Linked DNA regions of Lonchura striata. The protein of the gene in region 1 purifies or fractionates together with the protein of each later gene. This does not show direct contact. Links are inferred from orthologs where the notes say so. Each region holds a gene or a part of one and is shown on either strand. Other genes may lie near its edges. The genes, in order: NOLC1 and NOP58.

Region 1 (11,929 bases):
GGCTCACTCTAAACATGCAATAGTGGTTTATGGCTGTATCATAAGGTTCTGATTACCACTGAAATAGCTAAACAATACTGTGAGAAGCTGGCATATCAGCTCTGGGTAAGACTACATCTTACATTATCGACTGTTATTATCTATCGTTTCATTCCATAAGCCAAAAGGTTTGACTCTTTTTCAATTTATAGATCATAAAGTTTTCCATTGTATTTATGGATCGCATAAAGAATATTCAGGGCTGTAGCAATACACAACTTTTCTATGTCATCTTTCACACACCTCTCTCTCATAAGTAGATAATGACTTCTCATTGCCCACAGACCAGGTAAAAAAACAGACTAAATCCTTCACTCTAACTTATCATATGCAGTGGCAAACAATTTATCTTCATCTGCTACAAGAAAATCCATCTCTGACTACATAAGAAAGGCATTATGTAACCTGTTCCAGTGTGTTTTGTGATTCATGTGTATGGAGGATACAGAAATAATGCTGTTCAAAATAACAATCCTTGACAGATGGGAATTGACTCTCCATTAAAGATAATTGTTTATGGCATAAAGGAAATGCAACTCAAAGCATCTTAATAATCAAATTCTTATAAGAGAGAGCACTTCCAGCAAGTCATAGAAACTGCTGGTGGGCCATTAAAATAAGTCCTCAGCACATTCCACATTTCAGTATGTGAAGTGTGTGTATTTAAGTGATGTATGATGAAATAAATGCATACTCTGCATACATGAAATGCACAGTAATAGTGATCACATGAGACTTCTTACCTCAACTGGAATATAAAATCTTCACTTTAAATAAAATGCTGCAAACAAGTAAGAGGAAACAGCAGAACCAAAGCAGACAACATTTCTGCAAACTTAACTTCACAGAGAGGAACGAGAGATTTGCATTATGATACATTAATCTAAAGTTGTTCTTTTTTTAAGGGTCTCTGTGAAATCACCTTCTGTTTATAAGGAGAAAAGTAGTTTTGCCCACAAGTCTCCCGAGACCTCCGTTTAACTTATTTTTACCTCACAAGGAGATACGCGTCAATGAAACACAAATGTTACTTCACACCCTGAGAATGGCACGTTTTTTTTCCTTTTTTAGATAAAACCCATACGCTTCCCTGCAAAGAGAGGAACTTGCAAATTGGGCATTAGCAAGATTTACACAATACAGGCTAAACTCCTCTCCCCTTGAGTCTGCAACTCTTAGTCTAGGTAGCCTTACCTGCACACACGTCAGCTAAAACACTTTCAATTACGGCAAACTAGCTTAGCTTGTGATCCTGTGCCATTGTGGCAAGAGGCACCAAGTATACCCCCAAAAGGAAGTGGTGCTGAAGAATAAAGCCATATTTAGGAAAAACTGACTTCTCTATAAAACATCACAGAAAAGCACACAAGTCGTACAGGCGGACACGAGCAAAATACTCTACAGAAACCCTCCCTCAGAAGTCGCTGATCTGCCAAGCCGAAGTTCACTTAAGACGCAGGAAAGCTCTGCCAGCAGCTGCCCTGAACTGCAGACAAGCGAAGCAAGGCGAGCTAGAAAGCGCTACGAGCGAAGGAGCGCCGGGGCTCCCTGAACCCGGAGAGCGGACCGCCTTCCCTTTCTCCGGCAGCGGAGCGCCAGGGGCGCGCAGAGCCGCGCAGCGGCACCGCCCCGCGCGGGCAGCGGGCAGGGCTCCGCTACGCTCCGCTTGCCGGCACCGTGCCGCGGGGCAGCTCCGGGCAGCCGCGGCCCGCCGCAGCACAACCGCGCGGAGAAGCCCCGCCGCTTCCCCGCGGCTCCCGGGACGGCAGCCGCGGCACCTACCGGGGGCCGCCATGGTCCGGGGCTGGCGCTCCCCTTCCCTCACATCGGCGGCGCAGCAAGGCGGTGCATCCCCCGGAGCCGCTCCCTCGCCCCCAGCACAGCCCAGGGCACGGCACCGGGCTCCTCCCGGCCCCGCCTCCCGCCCGCGGCGCCCCCTGCAGAGCCCGGCACGGGCTGCCCCTGCCCGGCCGCACGTCGCCTTTCCGGTACTCGGCGGGACTCTGCCCCAAGGAGGGAAGCTGCCTGTTCCAGCTGGCTCCTATCACACTTTCCGTAGGTGGCCGAGGAAACAGCGCTACAGCGAGGAAAGTTGTGTTACAGTAATACAGTGGTCTCAAGAAACCGGGAACAACAGTTGAGGAGAAGAATAAGCGATACCTGTTTTATACTCATCCCTAACTTAGGTTTTGTCATGTCTTCTATGAGGAAGGAAAACTCCTAGGGAGAAGCCAAGCTGCTCCCTAAGAATGAAGTAGCTCGATGTTCTGTGTTTTCAGCTAGAAGATGCTGTCTTCCAAATGAAATTTACCAGTTTCTGTAAGACTGTGCTCATGTTTGAGTACAGAGACAATAAGCACCAGAAGGACAACGTTATTGTTCAGAGAGTAGGACTCAATTTACTAATCTTGTCACTGGAGACAAAGCAACAGATTCTGCCTAAATTATTCAGCCTATTCCTTTGCAAACTTTGAAAAACCACTTTGAAAAACCAGTGAGATCTTTCATTGATGCACTTCACACCAAAAGCAGACTCCTTACAATCTGGCTTCCCAGTCAAGGCAGTCATTCGACATTCTGTAAACAGCTTAACGTCACCACTAGTTTTAGAACAGAGGTGATTACAAGCAGAAAGGAACCAACTGTTTTCCACTAATAAACTCTATCTCAGAAGTTAGTCAAACTCTCTTGTTACCTCCAAATCTTTCTTTACTGAAAACCTATTTTAAGCTTACAAACTGCATGCCACTACCTGTCTTCCAAAACCCAGGTGTTCTCTCAATAGGAAAGCACTAGGACTAAAAGCACTTCCTGATGATAAAGCTTTATGAGTAATTCCAGGTTTGCAAAGAAGAAACCATAACTTTCCCCTCTGAATCATCCCAAAATTATACACTAAAGAACACACAGACACTGGAGAAGAATCCCAACTTGGGATTTATATGAAAGACAAAAGTTAACTAGTTGGAAACGAGAATCTTTAAGCAAATTATTTTACTATTATGCAACAGCAAGTATATATTAAGAACTATTTAAACAAATGGATGACTTTATGACTGTTCCACATTATTTTACTGTCTTGGGGAATACAAGGACAAAATGGCTTTCCCTGCCAGGTGATCTGGACAGCTGCAGGCACAGCATAGGCGAACACACCCAGAGAGCCACACACCTTTGAAGAGAAGCGGCTACACAGCACAGGGAACAGACCTAGCTGGCAAAGGCCAGGCAGGAGAGGGAGATACTTATTAACCAGAGGAGAAGCAAAGTGAGCCAGTAAAGCAAACACAGTCAGTCATTTTCCCGGCTCCTCACAGCCAGGGAAATTCACACAGTTACTTCACACAGCAGGGCTTAAAGTAACAACAGTTTACCAGCAAAAGCTGCATCTTTTCCTTTCCAACGCAGGCAAAAACACAAAAGTTTGCTGAGCTTTGCAGATGAAGCTTGCAGCTGTAGGTCACTGTAGAGGGGAAACTACAAAAACTATTAGTTCCTGCAAACAGTTTCCTTTCTGCAACACAGCCTCGTGTTATTCCACACATAAAAGGGGCAGGGAATCTCAAAAACAAGTAAACATATCTAACCAAGCCTCCGCACAACACCCCTTTTCTGCCACACAGGCTACAGCATCTGTACAAAATTACAGAATCTTACAGTACAAAATACCACAAGAGCTGACTTCTGTTTCCCCATGAGTGCAAACATGGGTCCTTCCAGAAACACCAGGAACAGGTACAATTTGCTGAGAACAGAGCCCGTCCAGTTGTGCATATTCATTGGGCACCAAGGCACAGAACACCCACAGAGCACAGAACAGCAGTATTTGGAAATAGTTAAGTGCAGAGAGCTAGGTAGGGGAAATATAAAAAGCAAAATACTGCCTACCTACCACTGTTTTTTTGAGCCTGGCAGCCCTAAATCTAGACTTTAAGTACAGGACTCTCTTCTTCCTTGGCCCTCAGCAAGCTTTATAGTACCATCTATTGAAGGAAAAGAAGAAAAGTGCCATTCATCACAAAGGCAGGAATAGAGAGCTACATCCAGCAGAGCAAATCTGCAGTATTACAGAAAAAAAAAAAAAAAAAAAACCAACAAAAACTTTCCTGTAAAAGTAACTAAAGCTACTTAAATATACAACAGGTGAATTAAATCTCATCCTCATCCTCATCAGTGTTGTGAGCACACTAACACACTAAGCTTGTCCTGCTCAGCCCCATCTGGGGCTTCCACATCCACCCTTTTCCATAGGTCCAGAAGCTCCATTTAAGGTCAGGTCCGGGTCTTCAGCACTTATTTGAGCTATACCTATTTCATACCTTATCTCCCACCTTGAAGCCCCTCAAGCCTATATTCTAGACAACCTTGTCTCAAATTCATTTTCTGTCTCTCACAGGCTGCCGCTTTAGGATTATGGTGTTACTTTCACCAGCTCTCTCTGTTCCCGTAGGGATTTTGCAGGAGTATTCAGTACGTTCCTGTATGGGTTCAGGCTGAGAGCAGCGGCGAGTGCCGGCAGCGGCCCCGAGCTCCGCCCGCAGCCCTGCGGGGCTGCGCCGCGCTGCTGAGGGCTCTGCCGGCACCGAGCCTGCCCGCAGCTCCCAGCCTGCTCTCCGCCCCAGAGCAGCCCAGCTCCTGCTCTCCAGCATTCCCCCAGCGGTCTCCTTTCAGCCATTTACAACAGATTACAAGTACGAGTAAGCTGGTGAGTCTTAAGCGGACTTAAGTCTAAGAGTCGAATCCAGAGCGGAGTGGGCACTCCCGGGCTCCCAGCCCCTGTCCCGCCGCTGCCCCACAGGCGGCAGCAGCAGCAGCACGGAGCGTGCCCGCCGCCTCACGCCGGGCAGCGCCCCGGAGCGGCGCCGCGCGGGCAGCTCGGCAGCGGTAGGGGCGGGGTCACGTAGGCGCGCGTACGCACGCACGCACGCACGCACGCTCGCAAGCGCGGGCGCGTGCGCGCGCGGCACGTGTCGGCGCGGCATGATGGCGGAGCGGCGCGCGGTGCCCAGCGACCTGTTCCCCCTCGTGCTCGCGTTCCTGCGCGAGAGCGGCTGCCAGGGCGCCGCGCGCGCCCTCGCCAGGGAGGCGGCGGCGGTGAGCGGGGAGCGGAGCGGAGCGGAGCGGGACGGGACGGGACGGGACGGGACGGACGGGTGGGCGGGGGGACCGACCCACCGACCGACCGACTGACTGACTGACTGACTGACTGAGTGTGGCCTCTCTCGCTTTAGAAGGAGCAGGACCCCAACGCGGCCTCCCTCCTGGACATCTTCACCTACTGGCTGCGGTAAGTCCCCGCGGGGTGCGGTGTCCCTCCGCCCGGCCCGCGCCCCGCGGGACCCCGCTCAGCCCTTCTGCCCGCAGGTCTCCGGCGGCCAAGAAGGGAAAGCTGGTCCCGAACGGCGCCCAGGCGAAGAGGAAGCCGTCCGCCAGCAGCAGTGACAGCTCCAGCGAAGAGGATGAGAAGCCCCCGGCCAAGAAACGTGGTAGGTTTGTGCGCCGCCCTGGTGCACACCCGGATTATGTTTGCCATTGGCTTCTCACGTGCGTTTAGAGCTCAACTTCAGTTGCTCTTTTAAGGTCTTTCAGCAGCTGTCAGGGATTAGGTTTGTATTAACTGATTTCGGTTTTGGCAGGTCTTTTACCCATGACATGGAAGATAGGTTCATTTTAGTTAAGGCTGATCTCTGTATCTTGTTAAAATTTAGGCACAGCAGTTTGTGTCCCATGGAAGGTTTTAGCCATTCCAGAGAAATCCTAGGTATCCATACTCACCTGCTGCTTGCGTGAGGTTGCTGCCCTTTTTTCTTTAGAGCTCATGTACTAGTGCTACCAAAAAATATATCCCTGTGCTGCACTTTGCTATATGGTGAGCTAGATTTTTCTGTTTTATCTGAAACTGTTCTTGTATCTTTCATTAATCACTGTACACAAGATTGTGTGTGTCTAGCAGTAGGTTTACAGGAGGGAAAGAATAAATGAGGAAAGGGAGAAACACAGAAAAATTTGTCGTCAACTTGGGCCATCCTAAAGCTGAATTTGAATTTAGATCTTATTTTTATTTGATAAGGACATTTGTAAATATAATATAAGACAAAACTCTTTGTTTTGCTCCACATTATTGAAAAGCAGTCAGTAACCAGGAAGTGGATTTGGCCAAAACACATTTGGGTGTCTGGAACCTTAACACGACATTGCAGTGTTTCTCTTTGCAAGCACCAGTCAGTACTGGTTCAGCAGGTTTCTTTAAGCTGGAAGGTGTGCAGACCCAGCTAATATTATCTCAGTTTGAGGGGTGCTCTTTCTTTTTGGGATGTCCTCTTTGGTGATAGAAATCTGCACTTAAATTTGTGTGTGACAAAGATAAAGCCTGGAATGGTTTTATCTTTTTGCTTACCCATTTTAGAGCAGTCTGCCATACACTGCTCAAGAAACAAAGTCAGTTTTACAAACTTCAGTCATGGTTTAATTACCTTAATGTATCCTTTTGCCCTAACACCCACTAGTGCAGGATGTAAGTACTAGAAAGTTGTGAATTAACTTGCCATCAATGTATACTGTCCCTTTTTTGCAGCTAAAGCATCAGCTGTGCCCAAAGCAAAAGCAGTTCCTGCAGCCAAGATGGCAGAGAGCAGCAGTGAGGACTCCAGCGATGATTCAGACTCGGAGGAGGAAAAGAAGCCAGCAAAGGTTGGCTTTTCTTTCCAGCATCTTTAATGTGTGTTTGACAGTGATGAATACTAGCAAATTTAACCAACAGAATTGTGTGGGATATTGGGCTTACTATCCCTGGACTATGAAGTGCCCATGCTGCTGTAGATAACCATGCAAAAAGACATTTCTGTAGTGCAGTTTGGATTGGTCCCAGGAAAAGTTAATTTTTTGTCCTGCACCCACCCTCTTTGTTTCATATCCAAGTCTGGTCCTTGCTCTTATCCTAAGACTGCCAGGGCTTAATTCCTTTGTAAAGAAAGATTCAGTACTATGAGTTTGATCTTTATGTATATGGGTGTGTGTATGTGTTTGCATAAAAAAAAGAATCTTCTCTTTGCTTTTTCTTGCTGCAGTCATGGTCTTGAAGTGGAGGCAAGGAACAATGATGTCAGGGGAGGAAGAGTGATAACATTGTACACTAGAGGAGACCAACTAGAGTTGCCCAGTCATTATTTTCAGTCTTCAAGCTAGTGGGATCTGTAGATAAGAGAAGAGGACAGTGCCAGCCTCAGAACTGCCCCATTTTCAGGAGGCAAAACTGAAGACTGATGTGCATTTCTGGGAGGTTTTCTAGAGCAAAACTTTTCCCAGGATTTTCAGACCCTGACCACTAAGCAGACTGGCGTTTTCAAATCTAAATCGTAACTTCTGTGAAAGACAGCTGTTTCTACACTCTGTATATGTGTCCATCTTATTAGCCTTGTTTACTTTTCATGACTTTGAGGCTTAATCAGTTTTTCCTGCTGTTGTTTAGAAAGGTGCAAAACCTGTGGTGAAGCCAGCTGGGACCAAAATCCAGCCTCAGAAGAAAGCAGAGAGTTCCAGTTCTGACTCAAGCAGCTCAGATGAAGAAGCACCAAAGAAGCAACCACCAAAAGCAGCAACACCGAAATCAGGTACCTGTTACTGTGTATCATGAGTAAAGTGCAAAATCCAAAAAGCAGGGGGAGGAGTGCTGGGGGCTGTACCTACATGCAGAGACATACGTATTAACATAGCAGTCTGAAAATCTGCTTTTGCTGCCATTTGCACTCCAGTCTAGTCTCTTCTGACATAGAGGTGTAGAACTGAATGAAAATAAAACATCTGGTCCTGAGCACCACATTGTTTGAATAACTGTTTATCTATTACTTTTACCATTGTCGTCTCCTCAAACAGCAGGGAAGATTATTACTAAGCCTTTAGTTTTGGAACTTCCCATGAGCTACAAGACAGTTTCCAGAAAATTTTCTCTAAGGTTGCAGTAGGATAAACCAAGAGTTTTGCAGTACTACTGCAAAAGCAGTACTACTTAATCTGCTCTGTGGTTCTTTTCTCTCTAAGATACTCACTGCTCTATGTAATTATCCCTCATCTACATAGCATGTTTTGCAATGTCCCGTTTTACTTCTCTCAAAAGGAAGTAAAGCTGCTCAGGCAGCCACCAAAGTTGTCAATGGAAAAGCAGCAAGCAGTAGCAGTAGCAGCAGCAGCAGTGAAGATTCTGATGAGGAAAAGGCTGCACCAAAAAAGGTAAATTAGACTATGAAAAAAATTAATGAACAGTGTAGAAGTCTAGTAACACTGGGTATTATCTTGCAGGCACAGACTACACAGATGCTGTGCTCAACATAACTCTTACACCTGCTTCTCCTTCCTATGGTGGGATTATGTGTTCTAGCATCTCTTCATGTACTGCTTTCTTCCCTAATATCTCCTTACTACTTTCTCTGCTCCTTCCTTTACAGGAAAACATCTTATTGTGTCATAACTATATTGTGTCTCCATTTTATAAAGTTGCTTTGGTCTGACTCTTTCATGTTTAGCTGTTGCTTTGAGTTTTCCACTAGCAAGTGTTTAAAAATGTTTCTTGCAACACAAAAATAAACATAGTTGTTTTTAATCATGTGGCAGTTGCTAAATTTCAGTCAGTCCTCCATCCTTTTGTCCAGAGGAGCTCATCATTAGGGGTTCATGGAGCAGAAAACAATAGCAGAGGAGATAGAAAGATAATGATACTCATGTGTTTCTTAAAATTTGTGTTTGAGAATCTTGGTTAATCTCTTTCCCTTTGTCTTGAGAATTTGCTCTTAAGTGAGGTGTGGAGTTAAGCAAGATCCACATCCAGTTGTCCCCACAAGATTTCTGCAATTTCTTTTTTTAATATATATTTCTTTTGATAAGGCTGTTCCCAAGAAATCACCTCTGCCAAAACCTGCAGCCACTCAAGCGTGTCTAGGGAAAACCAAACATGCCAAGAAAAGTTCCAGTAGTGAGGACTCATCTGACAGCTCAGATGATGAAAAGCCACCTGCAAAGCAAAAGCCAAAATCTGGTACGTAAAAAATACTAAATAGTTTGGTTATTTTTTTTTTTTTTGTGAAGTATCCAGGGCCATTCAGTTGGAGTCCAGCTGATGGGCTCAATGGGCCTCTGTTTAGTGTGGTATAATGTCCTTAGGCTTCCAGTAGAGAGTTGGTCTGAGTAGAGAGTCAATCATCTAAGGTCAGTCTGACTCTCTAACCAGAGGATTTGAAAAGGCAATAAATGAAAACAATGAAAAATTGACATATCTGATTTTCCTTCTGTAAAAGTTTGCTGACAAGCTCCTGTTCTTCTAAAAGTGCAGAGACAACTTCTGCAGAGATGGTTGGGTCAGCTGAACCCCTAGATGAGAGTTAAACTCAGTAAAAACAAGGAGGTAGCAGTGAGGTGGGTATAATCTATAAGCTAGTTTTGGATTGTAGCTACAGAAGGGGAATAAATGGAAGTGAACAGCAGAATACAACAAACACCTTGTGCTGCTCACATTACCCTGCTGACATCTGAATGCTGTGTTTCTCTTCATAGGCCCATACAGCGCTGTACCACCTCCTCAAGGAACACAGACAAAGAAGGGACTTGCTAAGGCTCCTGCAAAAAAGGCTGAGAGCAGTGACTCTTCAGACAGTAGTGATGAGGCAGAGCAGGTGCCCTCAAAGGCAGAGGCAGGTGCGTTGTGAGGAGGAGAGGCTGCATGGGAAGTACTACATTGTGCCAACAAGGTTTCTGCAAGGTCTTGGCTTCCTTGAAAAAGCCATTTGTCTTTGCTCTATGTTGCTATTTGGTCTTCTGGAATCTTCTGACTAATTTGAAGGCAAGCCAAACAACACTCTGTACAACTTGTGGATCTGAACTGTGGTCAGCTTGCATTTGTACATGCTGATTTGAAAAGTCATTGGGATCTAGTTTAGTGGGAATAAGTGAAGTTCTTGCAGAGCTTCCAGTAGGCTGGCTGAGTAGCTGGTATACTGAGAGTGGAGCTTTTTCACATCTGGTAAGGTTTGGATCCAGGGACAAAGGTTTGGTGTGGATGTGGCCTATTAATTTTAAACTTTCTTTTGCAGGCAAAGCAGCAGTAACTAAAACAATCCCTGCCCCTCAGAAGAAAGCTGTGACTAGCAAGAAGGCTGAATCCAGTTCTGACAGTGACTCAGGTAATTCAGTAAATAAAGTTCTAATTCTTTTGTGTTAATGTTTTTGCTGGCCAGGTTGCCCCATAGTGGTGTATCCAAGAGCCTTAGTGTTTGAGCTTAAAAGCTTCAGAGTCTCCATGACTAGCAAGATATGAAATTGAAAACCTGCAGCCTGCTATTCAACGTGGAGTGTGACCATGAGACAAGACCATTGGCAGGTGTAGGAAAGTCTCCATACTGCTGGATGGAAAGGGCAGGGAATTGTGAATCAGGTTTCTCACAGACTTTTAATGGTTAAACTGTTCTTGAGTGTCTTTGTCTTGAGATTTTTGTAGTTTGTTATTCCGTTGTGTTTGGAGAAGTTTCTGAAATAAAAATGTAATCACCATATGACATTCAAAATAGACTTGGAAGATGCCTCCCTTCTAACGTGACCCTAGAAACGGGAGCAGTGTACTTTGTCTCTCGTGTTGACCAGGTTTGAAGTTTGATGTTTCCCATATAAGTTCCCTGTGTGCTACAATTTCCTTCTGAGTTCAAGAAACTCCTTTGGCGTATCTCAGCATCTCTGGTGGCATTGCAGGGACTGGGCAGCAGCTGCCAGTCTGTCTGCAGACAGCTAGCCCTAGCACTAGGTTGTGTGACACACCAGTGAGTGTCAGCTCAAAATTGTCAAGTTTTTGATTGCTCTTGCTAAAGTGTTCAGAAATACTGGAATAGATCAGGTTTAGTATTCCAGATCCATGTAACACAAACAAAGGCGTATTTGTACTCAAGAGTCTCCATTTTCAAACTGCTGCTATCTCATCTGATAGAGGAATTAGCTAAAATGAGATACTGTGCTGTTGCTGCCTCACTTTGTATGCTTTGTCAACTTTTATCTCTTAATTTTTATATGGCTTTTTTGATCTTTACCACATAGATTATTTTTTTCAATGTTTCTTGTCCCCAAGTTTGATGATAGTGGTACTTTTTCTAAAGTTCCTTATTCAGTACCTCTTCTCTATATTATTCTCCAAATATTTATTTCACTGTACATTCATTAGTGAATAACTTAAACTGTTTCCACTTTCTCCCAACAAGGAAGATGCATAGAAAATTTAATGCTGTGCCTTAACTGTTCAAGTGTTCATCAGATGCTTGCCAGTTCCCTAGTGCCTCAGCCTTGAGCCACAAGCCATTTTGCTTTTCACTTGCCCATAAATTACATACATGTTACCACTAAAGTAACTTGCACATGAAACCTGTTAACTTGAAGAACGTTTTTTTGGGTTTTTTTAGATTCTAGCTCTGAAGATGATAAAAAGAAGGTAGGGAATAAACAACCTGCTAAACAACCTGCGATAAAGAATACTTCTAAATCAGCAAAAGTAGTTGTCAAGCCTGGACAAGCAAAGAAAGACTCCAGTTCTTCCTCAGACAGCTCAGGTATTGGGGTGGGAGAGAAGGAGAATTTCTGCATGCACGTTGTTCTTGTTGAGACCTTTCTGTTTTTGGGCAGGGTCTGAGGGTGCGGTTGGACAGGAATACCCATTGCAATGTTGTTTCAAGCAGATGATGAAGCGTACTGTGTATCAACGTTGAATGTTAGCGTTGTGTTAAAGCAGTGGGACTTAGCCTTGCTTGCTCTTTTTCTTTCCATTCTAGATTCTGATAGTTCTGAAAAGAAGGCAGCTCCTGTGAAGCCCACACCTAAAGCAGCAGCTCCTGTGAAGCCCACACCTAAAGCAGCAACCCCTGCA
Region 2 (11,929 bases), on another chromosome or scaffold:
ATGTTCAGGGCAGTGACACCCCCAGTTCCCCACACAGTTAATATTCCACTTTGAAAAGAGCAGATTTATAATTAATATTCTTATCTGCTGTGTAGAACATTCAACTTAAGAGTCAAGATATTGAAGTTTACTAGAAAAAGTTTGGTCACAGAAAGAAAATTCAGAGGTAGAGGGTTAGGGACTTTGTGACTTTTTCAGAGAATAAGACTGAATAATTAGATTAAAGTCTTTGCACTTTAACATTAAGCTCTTATTTTGCAACCTACAGAGTCTCCTAAGACAGCATGACAGAACAAAGTTCAGTGGAACAGGGAGCAATTGGACATGAGATGGGCAACTGGTATTTGACACCAAGGGGACACTGGAAAAAGCAGTCCACCTTCACTGAACTTCCTTCTTTCTCTGGGCAGGCAAGGACCAAGGGGTGTGCACAGCTACCTGCACACTGAGGAAGGTACAACAATGCCCACTCCCAAAAAGACAATAAATCACCACCCTACTACTGCTTCATGTGTTAGTGAGGAGTATGTGTCTGCCTGGCTTGGGTTTTTTGATCAGTTCCTTCCTCCCCTCTTTATCTGGATTGGATAATTAGAAAATTAATTTTTCTACTTGCTGGGTTTCTGACCAATGTTTAAGAGAGAAATCAAGCAAACCTGAAGACCTCAGTGCATTCTTACCATATCAGTCACCTGTGTTCTCAAGACAACATCTTCCCTGTACACACACCAGGATTAACTATCCTCTATATTGCAAACACAGCACTGGCAGCATAATCCACTGCAAAACCTCTGAAATCCGACTATAGCATTTCAGGAGCATGAGACAAAGGAAAAACAAAAATCAGTTATCACCTTTATGACACCTCCAAGTTTGGCATCTGCCACAGCCAACTGCTCGTGGGCATCTTTTGCCACGATCTTCTTGAGAATCTTTTTCAAGTTCTTGCTGAGCTTGCCTTCTACAAGAGCTGTGGATGCTGCATAAAACAAAAGACCAAAGATACCGTTTCCTTCTCCTAAAACCTGTAAAAATATTACTTCTAACTTCATATATTTATTTTAACTGTCCATAGTAAAGTCTAGTTTGAGCTGCAATATTACTTCACCATGCAATAGCTGAAAATCAAAATAGAAGAAAATTATACACATCCTCCTCTGAAGGCCTAAATCAAAAATCTTTCTCCTAGTTGCCTCTCCTTTCTCCGTATGTTTTCAGTTCTATTTTTGCCAATTTTGTTTAAGGATCTCTACAAACAGTATGCCATATGCTTTAGATCCATGCTTAACATTTCCAACGGCAAAGTTATATGGGAATATTTTGTGTATAATTTAATTAACCAACCATTTGCCAGGTCCCTTAGGCAGCAACCAAAATATCCTAAATTGAGTAATGGCTTATTTGCATTCTCTGGTGATGATAATGTACTATCTAAAGCCCCAGGAATAATGCCAAACTGGACAGTCAGACAGACCCTTTTAATACAGCATGCAGACAGGAGAATCTTTAAAAGATGTTCTTCATTCTTAAATATTAATAGATCTGTAAAAGCTTTACAATCCCACACAATATATTTTAAGCAGGCACTTATACAACTCTGAGGGTCAGCTCTGTGCTCCACTGAACTTCTGGGACTGATACATCTCTAACACAGTAACAGAGCAGCAGCCAGTGATTTTTGGTTTCCAGAACCTAATGACATGTAGGAGTAAAATCAAAGTGCTGTGCTGAATTTCCTCTCAATCCTTCTACAATGCAGATAATTTTCTACCCTGCAAGCTGGCCAACAGCATCTAACCCCTTGGAACAGTCACATACGCCTTCAAAAATAAATGAGCCATAAGTCATCTGAACCTCTCCATTTTGCATACAAGTCAACTTGAAGCAAAGTAGTAGGTGTTAGATGTTTTTGAGGTTTTTTTAACCAGCCTAACTATACATGAACTGAACCCAAACCTATGCAAAAGCAGCATAATCAAAAAAATATGCCACAATGTACAACAGCTCTTTTACTTGCATCTCCTGTTTGATGGTTGTGTCTCCATTCTTGTTTCTTTGCTTCTTTTATAAGCTATCCCTACTGCATCAGAATATGAAGATCTTTAATTATAAATGTGATGTGGAACACTCACCTACTTAAATCATACAGCACATTCAGCAGTAATTGTCACACCATTTCTGAATTATTGCCTAGAATTCCTACCATTTCTGTTCAAACCAGGCCATATATCAAGCATTTAAGTGCAGAATTCATAAAAATTATTGAATATAAGGTTTTCCATTTTGCTTAAACTCCTAAATTTGAGGAGAACACAGACCTTTCTTAGGCTGTATCCATAAAACCCAGGTGGTTGTAATAATGAATGACCTCTAATACCTATCTGTTGTCTCAGTGGTAGTGACGAATTATTGACTCAAATCAGTGATATTCAGCTTCAACAAGAATCCATCATTGACAACAGACAGGCTACATGTATCAGTCACAACTTATATGGTGCTCATTTATAAACTGCTGGAATATATGCACTGAAGGAAAAAATGACACTTTATTACATCTTTACTGCACTATAGACTGGATAGGTGACTTCATAACCATCAAAACCAGCTCACTTTTAAAAACTTGTAATTTAAAAGCTAAAATAATAGTGTTAACTCACTTACCAGCAAGTGCTTCTGTTGTATCCTGAAATTTTTCGAAGTGTTTCAGCTTTACTCTACAGAAATAAAATAGAAGTGTGCAAACAAGTGTATATAAACCATATCCTAGAACCATTTTTTTTTCTGCCTCTGCTACTACAGCTCCTCTCTTTTCCCTACAGCTTCAAAAGAACAATATGCAGACCCTCAAAAAGGACTCAGCGCACTAAACTGGCCAGTTGAGTCTGGTGTGACATTTCAGCTCAGTCTCACAACTATATAAAGAAAAAAAAAAAAAGGAATTTTGATTTGGCATTTCTTGGACTGACATCACCAGAAAACCTAACCCCCAGTTTTGCATTGTAGTTCATATTTAAAGACAGACATCATCCGTTTAAATTTCAACACTGCAACCTGATTGACTGATGATAGCATCTTCCCACTCATCTTCAAAAGGAAATATTCTGCCTCTGTGGAATGAAGAGCCTGCATAGCTCAGATTTAACATGCTTTTCAACCAAATACATCTTCAAAGACTTTAAATTTGAACTGATTCATTGCCCATAAATCCTCAAGTCTTCCCCTGTAATTAGATGTTAGAATACAAGTTCTGAACTGAGTTTAAGACAAACAACAAAAATTTCTTAATGCCCTAAGTGCTGACCAGAGCCAAGAATCCTATGAAGACTGTTTAACCACACTGTGACAGATCCTTAGGTACAGCTTCCCTCTACCCCTCACAGTCTGTGGTGTTGGTATATAGTTACAGTTAAAAAGCTATCTCAATCCAGTAAATTCCTCGTCAGGGACAGGCATTTAACTAATCCAGCTCTGATTAACAACTGCTGATTGTGAGTCAAGTATCAGCAAAGGAAGCAAGGTCACAGATACAGCTGAATACTTGAGTTAAGCATTTGCAGATCTCAACAAAAGCTTCAGGCTTACACTGATGCCTTTTCAGAAAGGCAAAAGAGGAATTATTTTTATCAGAATGGAGATCCCATTAAGAGCCACATTCTGTATAGCAAGTGGCCAAGACCATGTTTCCAGGACAAGATTAACCACACTACAAACAGGCAGATGTAGGATATTCTGGACTCCGCTCTAAGTAGTGTTACAGAGCAGGATAAATATGAAATGCATAGCTTACTCAGATACATCCATTATAATCAAAGCTGGTTAGAAATCTTCCAATAAAATCACTAGACAGACTTGGAAGGAATCCACCATTGTCCCCAGCTTTAGGGCAATTTGCTAGAAAGGCTGGCTTGATTAGAGGACGCTGCAATCCCTGTGCAGCTCTGCAGTGGTGCTCTCACTGATGGCATGGCCAACAACACTAGCTCTCAATTCAGTGATTTATGTAGTTCCACCTGGATTAAGTTTTATTTTTCCCAAAAGAATTTCCTGTGAGCACAAAACCCTGGCATTTCACTGACACTTCCAGCATTAAAAGCTTGGATGTTCTTGTCAAAGCACCCACATTACCTTAAAATACTGTTCAATTTTTTTGTTTTGGTGACACATGGTAATGACTTCTACTGCTTAATTACACTGTAAGGTATTTCTTTCATTTTGATATTCCATTGTAAGCATCTCAAAGCATCTCAGAGTATCTAACTTCACATTATCATTGCTCACAGCTTTTACAATACTTTTTGAAATAATAATTTTTGAAACCCAAAAATCAGTACTTCATTCTGAACCTCAGCTGTGTGTGACTACAGGCAGCCATGTCCTTCTTTCACAAGCCACACTGCTATCCCTACATGTAAAGCTGCTTACATTTTGTTTGCTTTTTCAGGAGTTTCAAATTCTTTCCACAGACTGTCAACTTCCTGAAGCTTTTTCTCATTCAGAACCTGTAGGAAAAAGAAACACAGCACACAAGTATATTTAGTTATTCAACCTAGGAAACCTGAAACATTTACAGTGTATCCAACCACTTTGCAGTAGGTAACACTGAGTCAACAAAGTCAACCTCAATGATCTGTGTTTCACCATTCTCCCTCAGCAGCTTTACCCTACTAATAGACAATAGTGCAACATTTTTACTATCACCTGAATTACAGAAGTTCTTCAGTAATGGCTGCATCCTCCTGGACCTGGCACATTAAAGCAAAACTCTATCAAAACTGGGCTTGCTCCGCCTCCTCTACAGGACTCATAATCATGGTGACCCAAACCCAAATTTACCACTGCTTTGGAAAAATAAAACATCTGGGAAACCTAAAAGAAAGCACTGATCCCCCAAATTATTTTCATTAATCAGACCTAACCCAAACAAAAAAGAAATTCCTGTAAAGAACAGTTGGAACCACAGCTTGATCATCAACCAAGCCAAGAATTACCTAAGAGGCAGCAATGGTTTAATCACATCTCTGTACACAGGGAACCCCCTCAGTTTTAAGCAGCACAAGATTAACACACTGGAGCCTATAAACATTTCACAAAATGCAGAGTGCACAGGAAATTCCCAAAAAATTGTTCAGGGGAATAGTCGAGATCTTTACAACACTGAGTTCTTTACATCTCACTCAATAATCTTGTGGTTTTGTCCCCACAATGCAAATGCAAAGCAATTGCAATTTAACTCAGTGCAGAAATCATTCCTAGTATTATGAATTTTGCTCCCTGGCAGATTTCTAAACCGTGGTTGAAGGAGGTTGTGTTTTTTTAAACTCAATTTGTAGAATTGACATCCCACATGACTGTGAGGCACAGCAAAACCTTGGGGCAACCTCAGCCAGACAATTCTTTCCCGCAGTTCATTTTTCCTACACCAAGACCTACAGAATTTTTAGCCTCTATAAACAGATATAGGCACATAGAGAAAATTAAAGACACAGAAACTGCTAAAATCAAGACTGGTACTATATAAAAATGACACACCTATGGAAAACTGCTGACACCTGCAGCAAACACTGCAGCACCTCTGCAGATACCTCCCTGGAGTTCTCTCTGTATGTCCCTTCTCCTACCTTTGCTTTATGCCTGATCTACCTTCAAAAATTAAAATATTAAAGTTTGTATTAAAATATTGCCTGAACTGTACGGCTTCACCCCAATAAGGAGAAAATGTTTTAGGGCAGAGAAAGGAAATATAGAGAGAGCAAACCAGCAAGGATGCAATTCTGCTGCAGGCAAAGGAAACCAGACCCTTCCTCTCTTCGCATCTGCACTCATGTTCACACAAGCTAAAACCCAAGACTAAGCTGAAAGGGGAAAAAATAGGAACGTTATTATGAACAAACGATGACCAAGCTGTACATGCATCAACACTCGAGCAAGAGAAAAGCCAGAAATGAGCACGACACTGTATCAACTCTAGTTTAGGCTTGCTCAAAGTCCCAGGCAGCTGCAGCCCGGAGCCACCCGGTCGGGAGGCCGGCAAAGCCCTGGGAAGGTGTGTGCTCGTCCCTCTGGGAGAGCGAGGTCGGGACACGAGAAGCCGGCAGGCCCAGCGCAGGGCCCCGCACGGCCGGGAGACGGCACCGCCCGCCACGCGGAACAGAAAGCGCACAGAGAGCATCACTTCCTACCAAATCCCGCCCGGCACAGGGGAGGAAGGGAGCGCCAGAGATGCCTCTTGGCAGGCACCGAGTAACTCCCCTTCTGCCCGCCGAGCAGCTTGCCCCTGCCCCGGGGCCTCTGCTCCCACCCTCGGCCCTGCTCGCCCCGCGAGGGGCCGCACGGGATGCGGGAGCCCTCACTCCCTCCCTCACTCCCTCCCTCACCCCCACTCCCTCCCTCTCCCTCACCCTCACCCCCCACCGTGTTTCCCCGTTATTCCCTCCGCAGGCCCGACGCGCTCCCCTTCGCCCTCCCTTCTGCTCCGCCGCAGGTCGGCGGCCGCGACCCTCCGTGCGAGCGGCAGCGCGGCCCCGCGGCTCACCTTGAAGATGGCGTAGCCGGCGGCGGTCTCGAACAGCACCAGCATGGCTGCGGCGGGCGCCGCGTGCGCCGCCGCCACCGACCGCGCTCAAGCACGCGCGCGCCGCGCGGCGGAACCGGAACGGGAAGCGGCGGCGGCAGCGGAAGCGAGAGCGCGCGGGGAGCGGAAGCGGCGGGTCGCCTTCCGCCCGCCAGCCACGTGGCGGGGCCGCCCCCGCCGCGGGTTCGAGTCTCCTGACGCACAAACACGCGGGAGCTGGGGCGCCGCCGGTGTGCCCTTCTGGCACCTCACCCGAGCTGTCCTCGCTTCCCCGGGTGCCGCAGTTGGCGGCAGGGTCGGCCACCGTTGATAGGAAGCGGGTGTGTTCCCCGGGACGCGAGGGGCCGTGCTAGAGACTTTGTTTCCCGAACGGACCCCGAAGCAGGGGTCAGCGGGTGGTCCTCTCGGCGACCCCGAGCCGCACCGGCCGCGGTGTCGGGGTTCAGCGGCGCTCCCGGCCCTCTGCACGTGGCGGGTTGCGTTCTCTGCCCACTCCGCTCTCGCTCCCGTGGCCTGACCTGCAGCTCATCGCACCGAAAGCATTTCCTTTGCGTAAAGAATTGTTGACACAGTGCGATTGCGAGTATTTAAAAGCTTGGCTTCGCCAACAGACAAGCACCAAATTGCTCGTATAAAACGCGTTTCGAACGCTGCGTGTTTCCCCGCGCTGCTCGGCTCTCCCCGGGGCACGGGCAGCTCCGTCTGCGGGAAGGCACGGCCCGGGGCGCTGGGGCGGCCACTTGAGCCTCCTCCTACTCTGGTGCCACCTCGTGCTTTGTCCTTGGCACAGCCCGGGCGTGCACAGCGCGGCGCCTGGCTGACCTTCTGTGCCGCGGCCCTGCTGGGGAGCCGAGCAGCTGCGTGCCGGTGGGAGGCGGGCGGAAAGCGCCGCTCCTTGCCCTTAGAAATCCCCGCTTATTTCATACGCAGGGTTAGCTGTACTGAAAACAGGCAGAGATTTTCCTGCCCGCAGGTAGAGAGGCTCCAAGAAACGCTTTTGATTTATATCAGACAGTCATTGCTGCGTTTTATGCAACCATCTGTATGAGTCAGCATGCCTTTGTTTCCAGGAGTACGCTGGAAAGTCCACAGTGAGAGAAATCTGTGGACTTTAATATTTCTGAAGATTTTTTTATTCAAAGGAAAGACTTTGGTACTTTACATCACATAACCAATTTTCTTAAAATCCCACAACCAGTAATATTGCCAAAGAAATTAGGTTCAAGGAGGTAGAGAATTTCCAGGTTCTACCTAGTTTTAAAGTACTATTTCTGGCCCTGCTGGCAGAGTACTCTTATTATGTAAGAGCTACTGTTAACTTAGCTGGTTGCCCTAGAATACTACATTCATCCTGTTGGCTAGCACTAACTGCTATCAGGCAAGCAAATTGGTATTATGAGATTACAAATTGTTTATAGGTTAAAGTCTCCTTTTTAAAGAAATCTGTTTCTGATGGACTGAAGCTTTGCACAGACTCTATGTATGTGTGGGCCAATAGCTTTGAGAAAACCTCTTGCAGCTATTGGCTCCTATACAGTAGCTTTGGAGAAATCAGTCAACAGAGGTGAACTTTATTGGCATCAGGTGACTGAGGTTAAGTGCAGGTAGGAAAATAAGAGACATTATAAAACACCTGAGAATTCAGTGAGGTTGTTAGGGCAAGTACTATGGGCAGTGCGTGCAAATGCAAGGCTGGCTTTGGGTTTTGTGGGAAGAAGCTTGTGTAAGTATATTTGGTATTTTTTAAACAGCTTTTGTTACTTTCTCTTTAAGTGAATTCTATGTTGAATTTGAGCCATTGAAAAAGAAAAGTGAGAGCTTTACTGCTGTGCATCCACAGTTTTCACAGTCTTAGTGGAGATTAACTTTGAAGATCCTGTATAAAACTAGCTTGTGTCTTGGAGAGCTGGTGCATCCACAATTGATGGAATAAGAAGGGTGGTGAAAGGTGGTGCTACTGTTAGTGTGTGTGCTGATAAGCACATTCTAACCCTGTATCTTTATGGCTATGCATGTGGATAGATAACTGCACTCTAACTCATATGAGTGTTAGCTTTTATTATGGGATTACTTGAAAAAATTGGGTTTGTGCCAGAGTCTGAGACTTTGGCCTTAGCACAGTAAGGCTCTGTTTTTAAAAACCCATTTAAAATTTATAAAAAGCAGTAATGTTCAGGATAGAATATTTGTCATTTTCCATTTTGCTAGTATTGTGCGTTGTTGTGGAGCCCTTGCATGGCTTATTTTGGTGCTTTGTGTGTATTATTAAGCTCATAATGAGCTCTTACTGTGAGCTTGGCATAGCATGAACATATTTGGCTTTTCTGCTTGGCCTTGTCTAAGAAAGATCATCTTCATTCTCTAGCTCTGTATAGCATTTGTTTTGGTTCTCTTTATTTATTTTTCCCTCCCTTGTTAATTCTGACTTGTTTTAACAGTTGTGATTAGAACTAATTCCCATGAGTCTAGATACTGATTGTTCTGCTGGCTGGCAAAAGTGCACCTCTTGGTGTAGCTCTGTTTGTAGCTTGGCATTCACTGATAAGCAGAAATGCAGGCACAGAGATCAGCTGCTTTGGTGTTTGGTGTTATTACAAGGGAATATGGCACACAGAGCATTGGCCTGTTTATGTTAATGAATGCCTCTTGCTCAGAGCTAATGAATGTACTCTGCACTTTCCCAAAGGTAGATGGTAAAGTTGAAACTCTGTTTAGTAGCATAAGGGTAATAATCTCATTTTTTCAATTGAGCTAGTTTCTGTTGATTCATTAATTTTACATTCATGCTATTTCATGGTTCTCATGTGTGGAGTTTTTTTTCTACTTGCTGGTGGTCACTTAGATCTAAGCATATGCCAGTAGTGATGCCATGCAGGAGTTGCCTGAGCAGTTGTAGAGGGGATGTTAGGACTCCATGCTATAGTCCAAACAGCTTGCAGCCTAAATGTAATCTTTTAGGTAGATGTTATTTCTTGTGCAGACTTCTGAATAGCGATGCTGTGCCAATGTAAAGCAGGGCACCTGTTCTAATGATACATCTTTGCAAATTTATTCAAATGCAAGCCTGGCTGCAGATTTGCTTAATACATGCAGATCCCATTGCTTGCATGGTTGCAAAAAAAACACTGTCTCTAAACAAAAGTGAGTTTTGCTATGGCATATTGTCTTAATAACAACCTCAGCAAGATATTAGAGGTAGGCAGTATGAAAGTGATTTTTGCTCCAAGATCTACTATTGTGGGAAGGGTTATGTGACTTCACATAATTGTCAGGATTGGAAGGGATCTCTGGAGAGCATCGAGTCCAAGCCCTGCCACGCAGGGTCACCTGCAGCAGGTGACACGGGAACATGACCAGGAGGGGTTTGAATATCTCCAGAGAGGCAGACTCCATGACTTCCCTGGGCAGCCTGTTCCAGTGCTCTGCCACCCTCAACCTGAGAAAGCGCTTTCTCAAGGTGAGGTGGAACTCATTATCTTTTAGTTTATGGCCATTACTGTTCGTTCTGTCATTGAGCACCACTGAGAAGCGTCTGGGACCATCCCCTTGGCACCCGCCTTGGAGGTATTTCTGTGCATTCGTGAGATCCCCTCACAATCTCCTCCAGACTGAACAGGCCCAGCTTCCGCAGTCTCTCCTCATGAAGAGAGATGCTCCAGGCCCGTCACCGTAGCTGTGGCAACCCTGGCTCCGGTCGCCAGGGCTGCCCTTAACGTTGGTCGCTTCTTTCGACGGCGACTCTCGCCTCCCCCGCGGCCTCGGCGGGAGCCGGTGCCGCGCGAGGGCCGGGCGGGGCCGCAGGCGGGGCCCGGGAGGGAAATGAGCTCAGGCGCACCGGAAATCCCGCCCGTGCCGCGGCCCTGTGTTTGCGCTGCGGGCAGAGAAAGGAGCGGAGCGCTTGCAGCGGCCCAGCCGAGCCTGCCGCACGACACGGGGCCGAATCATGTCTGACCAGGTACGGGCAGCTGTCCCGGCCGCGGGGGAACGGCGCGGCGGCCCCGGGGGCTCGGGAGGAGCTGCCGCCCCCCGCCCGCACTCTCCGCCGCCGCGGGGCAGCCCTGCCCGGGGCGGGCAGAGTCGCGGTCGCCCGGAGGGCGCCGGGGGGAACGTTCTCCGAGAGGAGTGTGTGTGTGTGTATGGATGGATGCCGATCTCCGACCTCGGCCGATTCGGGCCCCTCTCCGCGTGCATTTTAATCCTTTTCTCTTCTTTCCTCGGGGTGTTTCGCGAGGAGCGCGGTCGGGCTCCAGGCAGGGATACACGGGGGCCGGGGCGGTGTCCGGACGAAGCGAATCGCCGCCGGGACAGCCCCGGCCCTGGAAACCCGGGAATGCGGCGAGGGATAAGCTGTGTTGCACAACTGTTGTTTCCTTTCGTTTTTCGTTTCCCGGGTGTGTGGTAGGATGGTTTTCCCCCGGAGCGGGCTTTGTGAGGGTTAGGCTAGGCTTGCCAGGTACTCCGTTCGCCCGAGGAATGTGAAAGCCTGTTTTTCTCCCCCTCGTTTCTCAGCTGAGCGTTGCTTGCTTGTATTAAACACCCCGTCCTTTATGAAGGCTCTGTCCTGCCTTCGCTCCAAATAATATTCTCGTTATGCCCACATCATTTCTGTTTTCTGAGCCGGGGAGTTGAATAGTTGCTTGTACCGCAAGTTCCTGGGTTGCTCGGCCTGGCATGTATACAGTGCTTTGCCTACAACTATTGCTTTAGGCTATATGTCCTGCTAGTGGAAAGTTAAAACGGCGTTCCGGTTTCAATTTGTGTTCCGTTTTGCTTTATTTTTTTTATATTGTCGTCATAGGGCACTGTTTTCTATCTTTGATTTTTCCCAAAGTGTAGCTATCGTGATAATGTCAGTACCTACATGTGTTTCTTGTAGTGCTGTGAAGTCAAGAATAGTACTGGTGCCAGCCAGGAAATTAAAAGTCCCCAGAGACAAGGCTCAGCTTAGTGCATACCGTGTCTGCTTTGGGGAGTAGCCTTGGTGCAGTAGGAGCCGTGAAAAGAAGCCAGCGCTGTGTGCGCTGGTGGTCTTCCTCCCCGCCCCCGACTTCCCAGCACAATGCGGCTGACAATGGTGCTGCTGCCTCTCTGTGCCTGTGCCTGGGAGAGGGGCAGCTGGGAGCACAGCGATTGCTGCCTCCTAGGACACATCGCCCCTGTAGCAAAATACGTGAAAGTGACTGCATTTAAAAAAAAAAACAAACAAACTCACCAACAATTTCTGAACTAGATTTTATAGACAGATGTTCACGTGACCTGCTCTCTAGTTGTCTGCATATCGGAACCAAGGTATGTTTTAGCAAATAGCAGCTTTCATTACTTAGGCAAATCCTTCCCCAGGCAAGTTCTGCTAAAATA

The links.
Region 2: the proteins of NOLC1 (region 1) and NOP58 fractionate together in Homo sapiens (co-fractionation; 3 studies listed by BioGRID, with this or other methods). This does not show direct contact. The link is inferred for Lonchura striata from reciprocal best matches to the Homo sapiens genes NOLC1 and NOP58.

Annotation. Positions count from the first base shown.
Region 1 is NC_134609.1:13,346,640-13,358,568, forward strand, and holds the start of NOLC1 (nucleolar and coiled-body phosphoprotein 1), read left to right. Parts: upstream 1-4,978; 5' UTR 4,979-5,019; coding exon 5,020-5,133; intron 5,134-5,270; coding exon 5,271-5,326; intron 5,327-5,403; coding exon 5,404-5,525; intron 5,526-6,613; coding exon 6,614-6,729; intron 6,730-7,507; coding exon 7,508-7,649; intron 7,650-8,152; coding exon 8,153-8,265; intron 8,266-8,916; coding exon 8,917-9,067; intron 9,068-9,582; coding exon 9,583-9,723; intron 9,724-10,118; coding exon 10,119-10,208; intron 10,209-11,468; coding exon 11,469-11,615; intron 11,616-11,834; coding exon 11,835-11,929. Other genes in the region: PIK3AP1 (phosphoinositide 3-kinase adapter protein 1), read right to left, coding at 1,822-1,834. UniProt on the Homo sapiens protein: Nucleolar protein that acts as a regulator of RNA polymerase I by connecting RNA polymerase I with enzymes responsible for ribosomal processing and modification.
Region 2 is NC_134610.1:26,730,441-26,742,369, forward strand, and holds the start of NOP58 (nucleolar protein 58), read right to left. Parts: upstream 6,661-11,929; 5' UTR 6,578-6,660; coding exon 6,533-6,577; intron 4,500-6,532; coding exon 4,423-4,499; intron 2,715-4,422; coding exon 2,662-2,714; intron 2,467-2,661; exon of another isoform or gene 2,378-2,466; intron 980-2,377; coding exon 855-979; intron 1-854. Other genes in the region: SUMO1 (small ubiquitin-related modifier 1), read left to right, coding at 10,515-10,526. UniProt on the Homo sapiens protein: Required for the biogenesis of box C/D snoRNAs such as U3, U8 and U14 snoRNAs. Part of the small subunit (SSU) processome, first precursor of the small eukaryotic ribosomal subunit.